Ovis aries: one gene and its partner. The protein of the gene in region 1 interacts with the protein of each later gene in a pairwise test. Links are inferred from orthologs where the notes say so. Each region holds a gene or a part of one and is shown on either strand. Other genes may lie near its edges.

The links. The genes of interacting proteins can lie anywhere in the genome.
Region 2: the proteins of METTL21A (region 1) and FAM200C interact in binary tests that used the Homo sapiens proteins (3 or more experiments, as listed by UniProt). The two-hybrid records come from large-scale screens. The link is inferred for Ovis aries from reciprocal best matches to the Homo sapiens genes METTL21A and FAM200C.

The regions. Positions count from the first base shown.
Region 1 is NC_056055.1:209,707,755-209,717,597, reverse strand, and holds the start of METTL21A (protein N-lysine methyltransferase METTL21A), read left to right. Parts: upstream 1-3,517; 5' UTR 3,518-3,621; exon of another isoform or gene 3,622-3,781; intron 3,782-3,825; exon of another isoform or gene 3,826-3,931; 5' UTR 3,932-4,022; intron 4,023-4,443; 5' UTR 4,444-4,476; coding exon 4,477-4,623; intron 4,624-6,045; coding exon 6,046-6,157; intron 6,158-8,589; coding exon of another isoform or gene 8,590-8,861; exon of another isoform or gene 8,862-9,843. UniProt on the Homo sapiens protein: Protein-lysine methyltransferase that selectively trimethylates residues in heat shock protein 70 (HSP70) family members. Contributes to the in vivo trimethylation of Lys residues in HSPA1 and HSPA8.
Region 2 is NC_056058.1:69,538,917-69,548,802, reverse strand, and holds FAM200C (protein FAM200C), read left to right. Parts: upstream 1-3,788; 5' UTR 3,789-4,188; intron 4,189-5,013; 5' UTR 5,014-5,091; intron 5,092-7,094; 5' UTR 7,095-7,143; coding exon 7,144-8,928; 3' UTR 8,929-9,517; downstream 9,518-9,886. Other genes in the region: pre-mRNA-splicing factor SLU7, read left to right, coding at 72-188, 780-959.

The DNA of each region.
Region 1 (9,843 bases):
GCCACAGGACTGGAAAAGGTCAGTTTTCATTCTAATTCCAAAGAAAGGCAATGCCAAAAACTGCTCAAACTACCACACAATTGCACTCATCTCACATGCTATAAAGTAATGCTCAAAATTCTCCAAGCCAGGCTTCAACAATACGTGAACTGTGAACTACCAGATGTTCAAGCTGGTTTTAGAAAAGGCAGAGGAACCAGAGATCAAATTGCCAACATCTGCTGGATCACTGAAAAAGCAAGAGAGTTCCAGAAAAAACATCTATTTCTGCTATATTGACTGTGCCAAAGCCTTTGACTGTGTGGATCACAATGAACTGTGGAAAATTCTAAAAGATATGGGAGTACCAGGTCACCTGACCTGCCTCTTGAGAAATCTGTGTGCAGGTCAGGAAGCAACAGTTAGAACTGGACATGGAATAATAGACTGGTTCCAAACGAGGAAGGGAATACATCAAGGCTGTATTTTGTCACCCTGCTTATTTAACATATGCAGAGTACATCATGAGAAACGTTGGGCTGATGAAGCACAAGCTGGAATCAAGATTGCTGGGAGAAATATCAATAACCTCAGATATGCAGATGACACCACCCTTATGGCAGAAAGTGAAGAAGAGCTAAAGAGTCTGTTGATGAAAGTGAAAGAGGAGAGTGAAAAAGTTGGCTTAAAGCTCAACATTCAGAAAATGAAGATCATGGCATCCAGTCCATCACTTCATGGCAAATAGATGGGGAAACAGTGGAAAAAGTGTCAGACTTTATTTTTTGGGGCTCCGAAATCACTGCAGATGGTGATTACAGCCATGAAATTAAAAGATGCTTACTCCTTGGGGGAAAAGTTATTACCTAGACAGCATATTAAAAAGTAGAGACATTACTTTGCCAACCAAGGTCCATCTAGTTAAGGTTATTGTTTTTCCAGTAGTCATGTATGGATGTGAGAGTTGTACTAAAAAGAAAGCTGAGCACCAAACAACTGATGCTTTTGAATTGTGGAATTGGAAAAGACTCTTGAGAGTCCCTTGGACTGCAAGGAGATCCAACCAGTCCATCCTAAAGGAAGTCAATCCTGAATATTCATTGGAAGGACTAATATTGAAGCTGAAACTCCAATACTTTGGCTACCTGATGCTAAGAGCTGACTCCTTTGAAAAGACCCTGATGCTGGGAAAGATTGACGGGAGGAGAAGGGGATGACAGAGGATAAGATGGTTGGATGGCATCACCAACTGAATGGACATGAGTTTGAGTAAACTCCAGGAGTTGGTGATGGACAGGGAGGCCTGGCATATTGCAGTCCATGGGGTCACAAAGAGTCAGACACGACTGAGCAACAGAACTGAACTGAACTGACAACACCAACAGTGAAGTCTAATGTGTAAACTCTGGTCTTGGGGGGGTGACAATGATGTGTTACCGTAGGTTCATCAGTTGTAATAAATGTACCATTCTGGTGGGAGATGACAAATGGGGGAGGCTAGGCACCGGGCAGGGAGTGCTTGGGGAATCGTTGCACTTTCTTGCCAGTTTTGGCATAAAACAGCCAGTTTTATGCCACTAACATAAAAAAGTTAGTCATGAATAACTGAGCAAAGCAAAGAAAGGAAAAAAAAAAGGAAAAGATATTCACTGGTGACCTTCAAAGTTCTTCAAGTCACTTTTGCAGCCCAGGGTCCCAGCTTTCTAAGGAAATCTGGACAGAGAGCAGAGCACGCCCCCTGCGGGATTTGAGAGGAATAGGAAGCGGGGACGCGGGGGTCGGGGGGTGGTGGTGGTCCAGGCTGCCGGCCGGAATCACCCGGGAAGCTCTGAAAAATAGGATTGCTCTAGGCCCCACCGCTTACCAGCTGAGACTTTGCAGTGGCGGCATCCAGCTCTGCAGGGCTGAAAAGCGCTCCAGTTTATTCTAAAGTGCAGGCGGAGCTGAGACTCGCTGCGAGAGAGCGGCGGCGGGTGGGTTGCGGGGTCTGGGGGTCAAGATCCAAGAGGAAAAAGAAACCTTCCAGGGAGAAGGAGGGTAGCCCTCATCTCGTCATTTGTGCCCCCCTCCCTCCAACTCCCAGCGCAGTCACATTCCTGGATGCTCTCTCCAACCGCGTCCCTCCCAGGGACCTGCGACCAGATGCCACACTCTGAGCAGCTTTCGTCTCAAGAACGGGTGCCCCCAGGGCAGGTGCGCTGACCTTTCGGCCGGGGAAGGAAGGAGACAGGATCCCGGCTGACGGCGCTAGCAACAACCCCGGCCAGGGTGCCGCGTGCGGGCTCCGAGAAGGGCTTTGTCGCGTTTCCCACTGCGCAGCCACGGAGCACGCGAATTCACTAACTCGGACTTCACCTGGGTGAGATGGTGAATGGGTGATGGGTGGTGGATGGCTGACCACGTATTCTTAGGGGCGAATTTTCTCCTACACCCGCTAACTGACCACCCTTAAAACTAAAAACCCGCAAGCGCACAAATTTTAAGACCACACACACACACAAAAGCGCGAGCGCGAGAACTAGCACACAGACTGGCAGGCAGACCCGCCGCCTCTCCAGTGCCAGGCGGGTGGCTTCGCGGTCCCCGGCCGCGGTGGCACCCATGCCCTCCGCGCCCCCGCTTCTGCAGCGGTGTATATCCAGTAGTGTAGTAGTGTTAGTCACTTAGTCGTGCCCGACTCTTTGTGACCCCAAGGACTATAGCCCGCCAGGCGCTTCTGTCCATGGAATTCTCCAGGCAAGAATACTGGAGTGGGTTGGCATTTCCTTCTCCCATCCTGATGGTAGTGGACACTGAAAACATTTAGGCATAAAGTGTTGGCTAGCATAGCTCACCAGTAGAATGAGATCACCTGTTTGTTGGCTCTCAGCACCGCCCTCAGTGTGGCGATCTGCTCCCGTTTGGTGCTCAGTAGGGACTTGAACCTGAGGATCTCTTTCATTAGGGCTTTCTTGTCTTTATCGATCACGGGGTCTGCAGCTCCTTGACGAGACAGTTGCAAGGACCGGTCCACGGCTTTCTGCAGATGTTTGATTTAGTCCCGGAGCATGGCATTAAGGTTGTAGATATTCATTGGTTCTTTGCGAATGTCACTTGTATCTAATACTGGAGATGATGGCGGGGCAGTAATAACAGAGGGTATCGTAAAGCGGAATAATCATACTGTTAATGCCTAGTATTTAAGTTCAGGATCGAGTCCGCCCAGTTTAAGTTCAGGATCGAGCCTGCAGTGGTCGTTATAGAACTCCCCGATTTAGACAGCGTGGATCCCCACGAGCTCCACCCTCGGCGGCCAGAGAAACTGACTTGCGGGTGCGGATACCTTGCGGACACACGCAGCGGGAACCCCGCCCCGCCCCCGCCTCCGCCCCGCCATCCCCGCGCTGGTCCCCACTGCACCCGCCGCTCCGCGTCGCTGGCGCTCGGGGATCGCGTGTTCTGGGAGGGCGGGGGACCGGAAACGGGTGGCCCAGCGCCGGCCACCCGCCCCCTCCCGGCCCGGCGCGGCGGTCTACCCGGGCTCTGGCCCTTTAAAGCCGGTCATTTCCGCCGGCGACCTTGGGGGCGGGGAGAGCAGCGCGCGCGCCTCGCGAGGCCGTCTCCGGAGCCGTAAGTAGAGGCCAGGCCGTGCCGCGGGCCCCAGTGCGTGGCCCGCCGGGCTCCCGGGGCGCTGGCCGCGCCCCCGGCGGGGAGGTTCCGGCGCTCCCGGGGCGGGGTGAGGCCGGGCCGAGCGGGCGGCCCCTCTCCAGGCTCCCGCCCCTACGCCGCAGCTGCCCGTAGCCCCGGGGCCCGGCGGAAGGACGTGCGTCTCTGTCCGCCGCCCCTGTTTGGGGTTGGGGGGCGGGCGACTCCGGGGAGGGCTCCCAGCCGCGGAGGGGGGCGACTCCATGCCGGACCCAGGGTCCCGCTCCCCGCGAGAGATTCAGAATGCCCGAGTGTCTTTCACTTTCAGTCTCCAGGAAATGGATCTGCGTAGACCGTGTATATCCAGCCGGTACCATAAACCAGGATAATCACAACGTTAACCCCAGGTTGAAGTTCAGGTTCGAGTCCGTGGTGGTCCCCATTGAACTCACCGAGCGAGAGGGAGCGAGGGGAGACCAACACAAAACAATAGATGCCCCGCCGACCGCGGCGGGTTGCAAGCCGCCGTCCACGCGGGCCCAGGCGGTTTAGAAAGCGCTACTTTCTCCGCGTCCTGAGCTGTCACCTCCACTTCGCTCACTCATCGCGCTGCGAATTCACTGAGTGGTTACCGCTGAGGGTATAGGGCATCCAGCACCTTTGGCTTGAGTTCAGAGCGAAATCTCACTTCCCAGGAGGGCCGTGCAAAAGGGATTAGAGACTTCGCCTCAACTCTTTCTTCTTTTGAACTTGTAACAATTGGCTTTGAGCATTTGGAGCTACTAAAGAGGTCGTGCATTTTCTACCTAGAGCCTCACTCAAGATTCTTTTGCCCTACAGCTTGGAGGGAGCAGAGAGCTGGCCGGGGGCGAGATGGCCCTGGTGCCCTATGTGGAGACCGCGGAGATGGGGCTGCAGAGATTCCACAAGCCTCTGGCCACCTTCTCCTTTGCAAACCACACGATACAGATCCGTCAGGACTGGAAGCAACTGGGAGTCGCAGCGGTGGTTTGGGACGCGGTAAGTGATCGCCGGACGTCTCTGAAAATATCAGCAATTGATGATAAGAGTGCTCTTATTTTTGAAAAGTTAACAGCTTTGTTGGGTTGTAATTTATATACTGTACTTTGCAGTTTAAGTTTTTTTTTTTAAAGTAAATTCACAAAGTGGTGCAAGTACCACTATGCTCAGTTTTAAAACATTGCATCACCACACCCCATCCCCAGAAAACCTCTACCCATTAGATCATTTTCCTGCACCCCACCTCACCAAACAGATTGCATTTTAAGGGTGAGTAAAGAAAGCTGAGAGAAATCAAATGACTTGCCACTGGAGTCCCTAGCTGCTTTGGACACTAGTTTAACACTGCACAAAGGAAATGTAACTGACAAAGCCCCACAGGAGGATCATGTGTTTTCTTTAAGTTTTCCATAGTTGTCATGATCAAAAAACGACACTATAATGGTTACTTTTTCCTCTCCCCAGCCTTGTTCTTTCAACTGCTTGTAGCAGACTTGCCCTCAGCCTCTAGCCACACCTGGGATTCAGTGGGAACTCAGGATTCAGCCAATGCTGGATAAATGATTGGCATAGATACAGTTTTACAATCTTAACATTGTATTGGGGGTGTCAGAAACATTCAGGGATACAAAATATTGATATATCTGTAACCCAGTAGTACTACTTCTAGGAATCTAGTCCAAGGTAACAAGAAAAGTTTTCTCAGAAAGAGTAATAAAGATACAGAATAGTGAGGAATGGATGAGTCTCCTTCATTCTCACTGAGAAGAGGAATTGCTTGGTATACTAATAGTATGTGGCCATGAAAAATTAAAGTGATGTTAAGAGCATACATTGATTTTTAGAGTTGTTTGCAAATGCTAACTCACATATCAAGTCCAACCCTTCATCTGAAACTTACCCCTTGATGTCCGGTCGCTGTGGGGTGATGAGTGTTAGGGGCTCAGGAGAGCAGGAGAGAGGGATGCAGCTCCGAGAGACTTGGTGGGGCTCTGCTTGTCCCCTTTGGTTGTGGCCTTGCTGATTTGAACTCGGTTTAGGAACTGGACATTCCTTAAGCCAAATCACAGAGACTGTTCATGTCAGCTCTGCCAGAATGGGTTTGTAAACCTTGAGTGTCAGAGTGCTGTGACACAGAAGTTAACCTTCCCAGATTCAGCAGGACCCGGCCTTGGATGGGCAGAATCACTGACTGCCCCAAGGGCCTCTGGTGGGGCTGGGGGCAGCTGGGCCGTGGGACTTGGTATCCATGTTTGCTCTAGGTGACCCTACCAGCAGCAGCTGAGTTCCCATGGGTGCTGTTAACCTGGGAGTTGAGCTTTGCAGTGGGAGGGGGTGTGTGGTAACTTCCTGGAGCATGGAGCCTGCTGGAAATCCTAAAGCGCTTATTGACCTTAACTGTCATACTGTGTTTTGACTCAGGCTGTCGTTCTTGCCACGTATCTGGAGATGGGCACTGTGGAACTCAGGGGCTGCTCTGCTGTGGAGCTGGGTGCTGGCACAGGGCTGGTGGGCATAGTGGCTGCCCTGCTGGGTGAGTGTGACGCAGGGCTCCCTCCTGTGTGAGTGGAGGGGTCGCCTTTTCATGACGCAAACCCATTGTCAGTTTCCCTCTTACTGGGTTACTGTCCTTCTCCTTGTACTTATTATGAGTCACAGGCCACAACTGCTATGCTCACAACTCCAGGAAGGCTCATTCCTTCTCTCTCTGTCTCTCATCCTGTTATTTATATTCTCACTGGAGATGCTTTGCCCACTTCAATTCTGTGATGATCTTAAGGAGACTGAATTCAAAGAGAATTATCCAATTCATGTGTTTTAAAAAAAATTTTTTTTATTTTACAGTTTTAGGTACTGACCTCCTGCAATGCAGGGGAAGCAGATTTGATCTCTGGGTTGGGAAGATCCCCTGGAGAAGGAAATGGCAACCCACTCCAGTATTCTTGCCTGGGAAATCCCATGGAGCCTGGCAGGCTACAGTCCATGGGGTCTCAAGAGCTGGACATGACTTAGCAACTAAACCACTATCCCTGTCTCTATATTTGGATTTACCCCAAGGAAGTAAGGAGAGCAGAAAATCTTTTACCTTTGTTGCTGAGGAATCTTTGGTGGTTTGTTCCTTTTAGGAAGGGCTGGGCCCCCTGCAGTTTGAACTGACATCTTCTATTAAACAGTAGGTAGTTCTGACTTGATGTCAAGGTTTGTATGTGTGTGTGTGGTTTTTTTTTTTTTTCATACAGACATTAATTTAGGCCTAGAGCATTTTTAACCTTCATTTCTATTTCATAATTCATTGACTCTTTTTTGACAAAGAGTTGACTGTTGACAAATTTTTTGATTCTTTACAACTTCTGGCTTGTGCAGTTCAAGCGATTTGATGATTGGGTAGACCTGCCTCTAAGATACAATATATACTATTCCTCACTTCAGTATTGTCAGCTGTGGCTCTTGTTTCTGCTTCCCTGGGTCTGGAGTGGGGCCCAAGAGCCTGCATTTCTTATGAGCTCCCAAGTGATGACAGTGATGCCCAAACTGCTGGTCCTCAGACCACGCTGAGGTGGTCAGGATCTAGAATTCCATCATGTGCGTACAAGTACTTGAGGACCCACTAAAGCCCCACTTCTGTCCTGTTCTTTTTCTGGTAACATATCTTTTTCAGTATTCCTTTCTCTGTTTAGATTTTGCCTTCCGATGGGGAGCATAGGCAGGGGCGGTGGGTGGAATTGTGTACCTAGAAGCTGGCTTAGGTCCATCTGTATGACATCACTGGAGAAGGCAATGGCACCCCACTCTAGTACTCTTGCCTGGAAAATCCCATGGTTGGACGACCCTGGTAGGCTGCAGTCCATGGGGTCACTAAGAGTCGGACACGACTGAGCTACTTCCCTTTCACTTTTCACTTTCCTGCATTGGAAAAGGAAATGGCAACCCATTCCGGTGTTCTTGCCTGGAGAATCCCAGGGATGGGGGAGCCTGGTAGGCTGCTGTCTACGGGGTCGCACAGAGTCGGACACGACTGAAGCCACTTAGCAGCAGCAGTCTGATATGACAGGTGGCACTAGTGGTAAAGAACCCACCTGCCAATGCAGGAGACATAAGAGATGTGGGTTTCATCCCTGGGTCGGGAAGATCCCTTGGAGAAGGGAATGGCAACCCATTCCAGTATTCTTGCCTGGAGAACCCTGTGGACAGAGAGGCCTGGTGGGCTACAGTTCCATGGTGGGGGCAAAGAGTCAGACACGACTGAAGCGACTTAGCACGCAAGCGTGTCTGATGTCACAGCACTTTCCGTCACTGGGGAGGCCCTCACTGATACCACCTTTTGTTCTCCTCACATTAACCTTATATCATCCCTATGTATGTTAGGTATGTTTTAAAATTTTCGTTTTGCCAGTGAAGCTGGAAGTTCTGGGAAACTAACCCACTTTCTGAAGTCCTGATCAGTGTCAACCTGAGACTCAAACCAGGCTTGTCGCATACGGCAGCCTGAGTTCTTTCTTTCTGCAATACTGACCCTCACCTCGGTGACGTGAGAGGAGTTAACTGGATGGAGAGATGAAGTTTCTTTTGTCTCTTCCTGAGAACAAGGGCCTCCTCACTGCTGGCAAGACAGAGTGTGGTGATGTGCACAGGGTTAGAGGCCCACTAGGCGCTGACCTTTTTTTTTTTCAATTTAATTTTACTGAAGCATAGTTGATTCCCAATGTCATGCCAACTTCTGCTGCACAGCAAACCGACCCAGGCATATATATACATATATACATTTTCCATTTTGCTCCGTCACAGCATACTGAATACAGTTCCCTGTGCTACGCAGTAGGACTTTGCTGCCATTCATCCCACATACAATAGTTTGCACCTGCTGATCCCAAACATTGGGAAATACGCCCTCCTGCCCACTCCCTCACCACCCCCCAGCCGCAAGTAAGCACTTCACCTGCTCTGACTTCTTTTAACTCTTACTAGCTGTGTTACCAGAGAAGGCCATGGCACCCCACTCCAGTACTCTTGCCTGGAAAATCCCACGGACGGAGGAGCCTGGTGGGCTGCAGTCCATGGAGTCGCGAAGAGTTGGACATGACGGAGTGACTTCCCTTTCACTTTTAACTTTCATGCATTGGAGAAGGAAATGGCAACCCACCCCAGTGTTTTTGCCTGGAGAATCCCAGGGACGGCGGAGCCTGGTGGGCTGCCATCTATGGGGTCGCACAGAGTCGGACACGACTGAAGCGACTTAGCAGCAGCAGCAGCAGGTTGCTTCTAAGTCCTAGCTATTGTAAACAGTGCTACTATGAACATTGGGGTACATTTGTCTTTTTCAGTTGTGGTTTCCTCTGGGTATATGCCCAGCAGTGGGATTGCTGGGTCATATGGTAGTTTTACTACTAGTTTTTTAAAGGAATCTCCATCCATATTTTAATCACAGTTATAATTGTGATTCCATACATGTGCCTATGCATTTGGTTATTCCCCTGCCTAAGTTACCTTCTCAGTGAGGCCTTTCCTTTCAAACCAACTCTCTTACTTCCTGATGTTTTATATCTCTCTTTCCTGCTTTATTTTTTTCTTAGTGTGTACTTCCGACTAACATACTGGACATCCTGCTTTTAAAAACACCCCTTGCTGCCTCTCTCCTCACTTAAATGTAGATTCTGTGAAGGTAGGGGTCTTTGTCCCATGGCTGATGGCAGCCACCTGGATATTTATGGAATTGGTGGATGTTTTGGGGAATGGTCAACTGACAGTAAGATTCTACTGAAACTTGTGGCACACTCGGCAGGTGAGAAGTAGCCTCAGAAACCTCTGAGGCAGGCATTCCAGGAGGTTTCCATCTAAGAGCTATTAATGTGAACACCGAGGTGACATGGAAAACCACATCACTCCAGTGCTGACAGCAGAGTGCTCGGTAGACTGTTAGGAAGTCCAGAGGTAAAGTTCTAGGTCAAAGCAGGAAAAGGCTTGCTACTGGGAGAAATGGAAAGTATCACTGAATTCTACTCTGGTGAGCATGCTGGCTAGCAACAGTGATAGGTGCATGCATCTGTCAACTTGCACATTTTCACAGTATCACACTCAGGACTGAGTCACATGTCCAGCTGAATTATATACCCTAATATGTTATATGTCAAGATAAGAAAGCTTCAGTGTAGACTATACTGAAATGGTGCTGCCAACAGCTGTTCTGGGATCCTCTAGGGGATTGCTCATGAAGATTGCAGA
Region 2 (9,886 bases), on another chromosome or scaffold:
GAAGACTTTAAAACTTGCCCTAGAACTTTGGTTTTACATTAATAACACTATATGTAAATGCTCTGTATCAGATGCATCAGGAAAAACTAAAAGAGGAGAAAAAGAAAAAGAAGAAAAAGAAGAGGAAGCATCGAAAGAGCAGTTCAGAGAGTGATGATGAAGAAAAGAAACATGAAAAATTGAAAAAGGTACTTTGTGAAGGCTAAATAAATAGTAAAAGTGACCACAGTCGTCTTTATTTGTAGGAATCTTAGAAAATTATCTTATCTTATTCCCAAGCTCATTTTAAAAATGAGCAAACAAACTCGAAGACTGGGTGATTTGCTTGGGTCATCTGTCAGGTCCAGAATACAAATGGAGATTTTGTGTGTCTCCATATTGCCTGCGAGTTATTGACATGTTCCTCAGAGAGAATTGCCATCTTAACTCTATAATTGTAAGCTTCAGCAAGTCTTGGGAAAAGTCAGAATTGTATTCTTCGCCAAAAGCATCAGTTGCCGGCTTCTGTCAGTAAAATGAATCTCATTCAGTTTTTGTTGTTAAATAAAATTTCTTTAACATTGAAAATGTCATAGGATGTTTTGTGCTCTATGAAAATTTTTGAGCCAAATAATAATTAGTTGTAGCTTGACAGCGATAGAGCTGACTCCCAGGCAGAGGCAATCTAGGATTTTGATGTAACAATTCATAGTCAGTGGGGTCTTTTGGTACTCTGCCACTTCTGAACCAAAGGGATCTGACTCAGAGCCATGGTACTCATGTATTTCTTCTCACTATAGGCACTGAATGCAGAGGAGGCCCGTCTTCTTCACGTCAAGGAGATCATGCAGATTGATGAGAGGAAGCGACCTTACAACAGCATATATGAAACTCGGGAACCCACTGAAGAGGAAATGGAGGCCTACAGAATGAAACGTCAGAGGCCAGATGACCCCATGGCCTCCTTCCTCGGACAGTAGTAACTCGTCACTGACGCTGACCCAAGATAGACTCTGCTTATACATTCTTTTAGATTCTTGCTGTTGATTATCGATGGAAAAATCCGTATCTATTCTCATTAAAGTCAGGAAGCAAGGAGACTGCCCGACCTTAATGAAGTATCCAGAAGTCTCATAATAAATTCATTTCTTTACTCGGTGAAGAACAAAGAAGAAGAAATAAAGTGGTTCATTAAGTGCAGATTAAGATTTTATTTCCGATTTTATATTAGTGATTGGGAAAAGATCTTAGTTCTCCACCTATCATGAATATCTTCTCAACATTTATTTATTAAGTTTCAAACTTTATTTCCTCAATTTTTATGGCCCTTTATCTAGTGTTAGGACTCATTGTGAAGGCAATTAATTACTCTTTCTTGAAACAAGGGCTTCATTTTGTTTTTATTGTAACTATAACTGTAGTTATTTAATAATCATTTCTTTTTGCCTTCTCAGATTTTTCTGATCTGAAACTGATAACCTATCTTGAGCTTTGGGTTACTGGAAGGAAATCTGTAGAACGTGTGAATAACTATCCCTGATGTCAGTCTGTGTAGTAACAATTCTATTTCCCCCTTGGTTATAAAATTTTGATTTTCAAAACATTTCCTTGTATTTTATACTCAGAACTAAATGTGTTAGCCTTTGAATGGGGAAAAAAGTTTTTCACCCTGAGTTAGTGTTGACTGATAAGTCCTAGGTCTTTTACCAGTCTGGACAGGAGTATTCAGACACTGAAATCCTCTCCTTTGTCACAGAGAATATGGTTTGTGATACTAATAGCTATTTTAATTGTGATTGCCTTTATATAACAGTCATGAATATTAGATTTTTAAAAGATTGTAGGGTATCTGTTGTACCTAATCTTTATAGCCAGCAGGTGTGTCTCGGTAAAATTTGCAAAAAGTTAAACCTGAAGTTGAATGTTTCTTCAGAATATTACAAGTATAGCCTGTAGGGCTATTAGTATTTGAGAATGACATGATTTTTAAGCTGCTTCTAATAACATTGGGAAGATAGTGCTGACAGAGTGGGATGGGTGAAAACAGCCTGTTTAAAACCCCTGACACAAGTACATTGACTTTTAACAGTTCACTGGCTTTTCTGAACTACCAAAACCCACTAGAATATTGCGTTAAGTTAACATCTCAGAAATACTGCTGATGGGAAAGTAACTAAATCAAATTGTCAAGTACTGTGGATATACATTGCATCTAAATTCAGACCAGTATGAAACAGTGATGCAAACAGACCTAATTCTTACCTACTTTAAGAATGTCAAAAATTTTTGTTTTCATATTCCTACCTTAACAGGGGCTGGTTCAACATAAAATCTGATATTAGTGTCTATTTTGTATTTTATTTATCTTTTGTTAATAAAGATATATAATTGGAAATATTTAACTGTGAGTAGTTTGTAGCATTATTTCAAATATTTGGCAGAAAAGTAGTTTATAGGACTGGCAAGAAGGCTAAGTTAGCTTCTGCACATTTGAATTAGAAGATTTCAGGACACTTTAACTCAAAAAAATGTGTCACCTAACATTTTGGGGCTTCTGTTTTCTTTTGTGAAACCTAATTTAAGCTGATTTTAGAAAGAAATCTATAATATCTGAAATCATGTCTTATTTCTGTTTCCTTTTGGATAAAAGGTAACATCTAGAACATTACTCAAGATAGCTTTGATTTTATTATCTCAGTTATAGATGACTTGAGTGCTGGAACTATGTGCTATTGCATATGTTATCCCTCAGAAGACTTTCATGGGGTGAGTAATAGGATGCTATGCGTATTTCACAGTAAGCATAGGGACTCATTGAGTCCAGGTAGCTTGCTCAGGTCCTAACGGTAAAAGGTTGGGGTCAGGATGTAAACCAAAGTCTTTGACTCTAAAGCCTATTCCTTTCTCTAACATTTAAGGCCCAGATTTTTGGACCAGGAAGGCTGGTCTTTTGCAGTTTCTCTCATTGACAGAAACCTTAGGCAGGCTCTTGGTGTTTTTATCAGGCTCACCCTCAAGACCTGAAAATGAGGTATCTGCCTCACTTTGTTTGACATTTCTCCCTCCCCTAGGCTTGTGGGATGCATCTCACAAGACTGACTATACAAAAATGAATGAAATGCGATGTCATGAAAAACCCTTAAAGTAGAAAAGAGGACTGTATTTCGGTTTGTTTCATTCAACATTTTCTAGTTTCTACTTTAGGTTTTTTCTCTAAAATCTGATATGGGTTTATTTCTCTAAAAGTCTTGTTTAAAAGAATCTTAAAAGCCATTTCTCTAAGATGGATGATGATTCTCATCAAATTCACCTACACGCTGTAATTAATGGGGAGATGGGGGCAACCAGCATGGGCAAGAAGACACAAGCTCATCCTCTACCATTTTATCTTAACAGAATTTACAGCTTGTCTCATTTGCCTGGATGTTTAATTTGGAAGTAGAATTAACTTCTTTTCTTCCTCATTCGTTCCACAAAGAAAATGGTTAATCATTGGAGCTTCATAATCGCCAAGATCAAAGCCTGACAATACAAATTTTTATTTCTAGTGCTCTGAATGTTAAAAAGTAGAACTATGTGGCTTTACAGTGCTTTTCATCCCTGAGATTCTACGATGCATCTCCTCTGCAGACACAATATGCAGAAAATTCCCAGCTCCACATACACAACTTGAAAAGAGAAGCAGCGCGCGTGCTCCTTTCCTGGAGGCCGGGGAAGGGGCGGGGGGTGCGAGTTGGGGGCGCTAACCGTTTGCCAGTGCGCCTGCGTGCGAGGATTCGCCTCGCCCTGTCTGCGGGCGGGAAGGCTCCAGGAGAACCCGGATGGAGCCCGGCGTGGTAGGAACGGGGGACGCTGCGGGCGCAGCTATCACACCGCGCCCCGCAGGGTCCTGCTCCGGGGTCGCACCCGAGAAGCGGCCGCCTAGACTGGTTCCAGCTCCCGGAGGCTGAGCCCTAGCCTGAGCGGAGAGGGAAGTGGAGCCCGAAACGGGCGCCTAAAAGAAGCCCGAGCATCCCTTGGGCCTGCGCCTGCGTCTCAGAGCCGTCGGCTGGAGACCGAGCAGTCTTCTTTCCGCGCCACCGGAGTCCTTAGCTTGCCCTGGCAGCCTTCTAAATGCTCCGTCCTTTATAATACACCAAGCCTTACCAGTTACGAGCCCATGTCGTTTACATGCACGCTCATAATTAAACCTCCCAACAACCCTGTAAGGTAGGTACTATTGTCATCCCCAGTTGAGGGACTGAGGCTTGGACAGGTCCCAGCCTCTAAGTGACAAAGCCAGCATCCCAGGCGTTTGCCTCTGGAGTATTTGCATTGCATTCCTTTACCTTCTCTCCTGGTTTTTGCTTTTCATAACGTAAAGATAGTGAATCCAATCCTCTGCCTCCCTGGATACCTGCACCTACCATGGACTGGCATAGGCAGAGGCCAAGTAGAAGTCTGATTGTGTTTGGTTTGGTGTTTAAGGTTTACTGCCGCACTTTGGTGTTGTCACTGCTGACATAGATGTTTTAGCCTTTCCCGGGTATTTCTGTTATATGAATGTTTACTTGTAACTGACTGATTTTTCTCTCACTTGTGATACTGTTTCATATCTACACTTCATAAACTTGCAAAATGTTTTACTCTGTTGCATCTGTTCTTTCATTCTGCATCTTTAGATGGCTTTCAGCAAATTCTCAAAAATCTTTCTGAAAAGTAATTATGTCTATGTTAGTAAGTAAGCATTTTTGTTTATTTTACTGTTTATTATGGGAAATTTCCAGCATACATAGAGTGAGTATGGTGTAATGATGTGTGTCCATCATCCAGCCAACTCAAGACCAGTCCTGTTCTAGTTCCACCCCCGTTGTGTGTGTGTGCTGAAGTACTGTATTTCAGAGAGCCCAGACATCATTCCACCAGTTAATAATTAAGTCCGTGTTTCTAATGATGAAGACTTTTTAAAAACTCAACCATACCATTATCACACTGTTTCAGTTAATAATAATTCCTTAATAAGATGATGCTTTTTTTAATGTTTACATATTTTAGGGTATTGTGATTGCTAAATACCACAAAGGAACAAGTGAGAATCCTGAGATTCTATAACACAAGAAAGCCTCTTGGGCGGTAAGTTCATCTTTGAGGATCTTAAAACTTCTTGCTACCTAGTCTCCCTTTTTGAGGGGGAGGGAGAACAATTTTTCTAAAAATTCTCTTTTTCCAAACAGGTAAATCTTCAATCAAAATATATGTGAGTAGCATAGAATGGATAGGAATATACTCTTAACTCATCCCATAATTTCTAGTTGGAAGTCATTAGAAATAAACATGAAGTAAAGAAAATCATTTGAAGTAAAGCTTTCTCCTTCGCTTTCTCTGTACCCCCGAAATATACATAACAATGTACAGAAAGATAAGCATTTTTTTATGTTCATCTCATAATTCTGTTATCAGTTAGGAGAGGTTCTAAACACAGTCTGCCCATGGTCTCCTCACTTGACAAAAGAAAGCTTAAGATCAACTCTAAATTGTCTTTATCAACTGGCAGACATCTGTCAATTTTAAACTGGTCAATAGCAACCATATGGTAGATCAACTTGCTAGTTACATAGAAGTACATTTTACAACTAGTTATTCTTGGCAGAGCCTCTAGCAAGCTAGGGCTTTAAGTAAATATTCTTGGCTTACTTACTGTGAGTTTTTTATGGCTAAAGTGGGTATTTGGATTTCAGTGTATCCCTGTTACATTATTTCAGCCACATTCTGTGGCACAGAACTTTGGGAATCATTTATATGGGAGATAGAATTGTTTTCTAAGGTATATTTGAGCCTACATGTGGATTATACCATTACTCATTGCTCAGGAGGGAGAAAGAGGAAAAAAGAAAACATATCTTTCTTTTTAGGTCCCTCAGCTTTCATAGGAAGTTGTCATCAACTCAGAAAAGGTAAATGGGTGTTAAAGCATTTAGTGTTTACTTAGCAACCTAGAATATCTGTAAGGCTAGGAACTGGCCTGGGGATGTGTTCATTCCTCTAAATCTGTCTGTGTACTTGGATATGTATCAGAATCACCTGGACAACTCTATTTTAGATTCTCTTGTCCTGCTACTGGAGAATGATGATGTATTAGTTCCGAGGTGGTACAGGGACATGTTTTCTTTCAGAAGTGCTCCCAGTGATTGTGATAGGCACTCTCGTTAAGAGATTCCTGTTCTGGGTACTATTCAGAAAAATTATCTAAAACACTTTATTTAGAGTACATATTTGGGGCTCCTACTCCAGAGCGAGGGGATCAGAATGTCTGAGTGTAGGGTCCAAGAATATGTATTTTAGCAAGAGACTTAGATGATTCCTCCATTTATTTACTGGAGAATACCTGCCTTCTACATCCTTTCCTACTATAATTAAGGCTTTTCTTCTATGAGAGAACTTTTTCTGAAATTTCAATAACAAGAATAGTTGTGTTTCTCCTGAGCCACTTGTTTTGCTTTTTTTATATGACAGTATGAATCATGGACGGATGGCGCATATCCTGCTTCAAAGGTGGCTTAGTCAGACCTGTTTGAAATTCTCTGCTTAGGTTGGAGTCAAAGCCACTCACGGCTCAAATAGTTTTATAGACTATTTGATTTAAATCCTTATATATTAGAAAGAACTAGCCAGCATGTCAGAATCTGCCCTTAGAGTATTTAGTGAAGACTTCTTCTCCATTCACTGGTTCATAACTGGGCGGTATGCATGCATCTCTGGCATAGGATGGAAGGAAGGGATGGCAGTGAGATGCCTTTTCTGGGAATACAAAATGTACCAGATTTGTTTGGAATATACGTCATTGAAAACAAAGTAAGCCATACCTGCAGCTCACCAGTAGAGAACTTACAGGGTATTCACAATTTGTATAAGCCCTAATCTCTCATATATAACTTGCTGGCAAGGTGTTTGTTCCAGGACTTTAGCTGTGAGTTTGCTCAATTTATGTTGTCATATTGTCATGGCTTACTTTGAACTGACATGTTACAGGATATTTCTTGACATGTACACAGATGACAGGATGGCATGAGAAGTGGCTTTGTTTTCATTCAGTTAGCCACTGGTTTTTAATGTCTGGATTATATTTTACTTCCAAGCAAAAATCTTCAACATCTGTGGAATACTGCGTGAGAAGTGTGGGGTGCCATGTCGAAGAAACGCAAATGGGACGATGACTATGTTCGTTACTGGTTCACCTGTATGACAGAGATTGATGGAACTCAGCGCCCACAGTGTGTATTGTGTAACTCGGTATTTTCAAATGCTGACCTCCGACCATCAAAACTGTCTGACCATTTTAACAGACAGCATGGTGGTATAGGTGGGCATGATCTCAGTAGCCTGAAACATGTGCCAACACCAGCTGATCAGAGTGAAACCCTGAAAACATTTGGAGTTGCATCTCAGGAAGATGCCTTACTACAGGCATCATATCAGTTTGCATATTTATGTGCCAAGGAGAAGAATCCTCATACAATAGCTGAAAAATTAGTGAAACCTTGTGCACTGGAAATAGCACAAATAGTTTTGGGACCAGATGCACAAAAGAAGCTTCAGCAGGTACCCTTATCAGATGATGTGATCCATTCTAGAATTGATGAAATGAGCCAGGATATCTTACAGCAAGTTCTAGAAGATATCAAAGCCAGTCCTCTTAAAGTGGGTATTCAGCTTGCGGAGACAACAGACATGGATGACTGCAGTCAGCTGATGGCATTTGTGCGATACATAAGAGAGAGAGAGATTGTAGAAGAATTCCTGTTCTGTGAACCACTGCAGTTAACAATGAAGGGAAAAGATGTGTTTAACCTGTTCAGAGACTTCTTTTTGAAACATAAGATAGCACTCGATGTATGCGGCTCTGTTTGTACTGACGGTGCCTCTACTATGCTAGGAGAAAATTCAGAGTTTGTTTGCTGTGTGAAAAAAGAGGTACCTCATATCGTGATCACACATTGTTTGCTGAACCCTCATACACTTGTCACAAAGACACTGCCTACAAAACTGAGGGATGCTCTTTTTACTGTGGTGAGGGTAATAAATTTTATCAAAGGGCGAGCTCCAAATCATCGCCTGTTTCAGGCTTTTTTTGAAGAAATTGGAATAGAGTATAGTGTTCTCCTTTTCCATACTGAAATGAGGTGGCTTTCCCGAGGCCAGATGCTTACTCATATTTTTGAAATGCATGAAGAAATAAATCAGTTTCTTCACCACCAAAGCAGCAGTTTAGTTGATGGCTTTGAAAACAAAGAGTTTAAAATTCACCTCGCGTACCTTGCAGATTTATTCAAACACCTAAATGAACTTAGTGCATCTATGCAAAGGACTGGAATGAACACAGTATCCGCTAGAGAGAAGTTGTCTGCCTTTGTTAGGAAGTTTCCATTTTGGCTAAAGCGGATTGAGAAAAGAAATTTTACCAACTTTCCTTTTCTTGAAGAAATTGTTGTTTCTGATAATGAAGCTTTATGCATCGCAGCTGAAATAACACGGCACCTGCAACAGCTGAGCAGCTTCTTCCATGGCTACTTCTCTGTTGGAGATCTTGATGAGGCAAGTAAATGGATACTGGATCCATTTCTCTTTAATCTGGACTTTGTCGATGATGGATATTTAGTGAAAAATGATCTTGCTGAATTACGAGCTAGTGGCCAAATCCTAATGGAATTTGAGACAATGAAGCTTGAGGACTTCTGGTGTGCTCAATTCACAGTGTTTCCCAGCCTGGCAAAGACAGCGCTAGAAATCCTTATACCATTTGCAACTACATACCTTTGTGAGTTGGGATTTTCATCACTTTTGCATTTTAAAACAAAGTCCAGAAGCTGCTTGAATATGAGTGATGACATCCGTGTGGCTATTTCAAAAAAAGTTCCTCGTTTCTCAGATATCATTGAACAAAAACTACAGCTCCAGCAGAAGTCACTGTAAAATGACAAACTTTTTGTGTATAATTTTTAACATATTCTTAAGTCCATTGTAAAATTAAGCTATAATTCTCTCTCTTTTATATTTATGATATACCAAATGCTATGTTTTAGAAAGTTTAGCATTTTTAACTTTTGATTTTCATGTGAGATGTGAAAACGTTTTGAGAATAAGAGCACAAGCAGCAGAAAAGATTAAGTGCTACTAATACATAGGATTCTTCTAAGTATCTGTTTAACCTTTTGATGTGATACATATAAAAAAGACACCCAAGCACTGGAATATCCAAGCTACTTGGTATAATAGGCTATGAATAGAGCCAAGAGAAAAAGAGAAGACCTCCCAGAACACACATTAAAAGTCAAAGGCAAAGGATGAAATGACATACTGAGTCCTCCCATGTCCTTGAGGGTTGTTTTAGGGAGGTAATGTTATCAAGAGGATTTTAAAATGTTATAGTGAAAGAAAGGATGATCCTAGTTAATTTAAGATTTATTTTTAAATGTATTATTTGGAGTTAGTCCCAATGTCCATTCCTCTGGTTCTATGCTTTAAATTCCATGACACTAATAAACATCCTGATATCTTGGTAGTCACTCCTTGTCTTCTTTTAAGTTACATCTAGACTCCAAGTCATTGGGGCAGCTAAAGAGGAGATCCTAGAGCTCTGTTCAAGAGATTTCTAATTTAACTGGCCTGGGCCAAGGAGCTTCATTCTCAACCAGCTTTCCAGACAGTTCTGATGGATTCTTTGGCCCTCTCACCTCATCTTATTTTTCCTACACTTAGTTTTCCTTTGCCCCAGTTTCTTCACTTATTTTATACCTTATGCTATATGTATTTTTCTAAGATTAAAACTTTTGAATGGATCAAAATATAAATAATAGAGAAATGTTGGACCAAATATCTGGGCACCTGATGACCCAGCCAAGTCAACATGTAAAATTAACCACCACAGCTA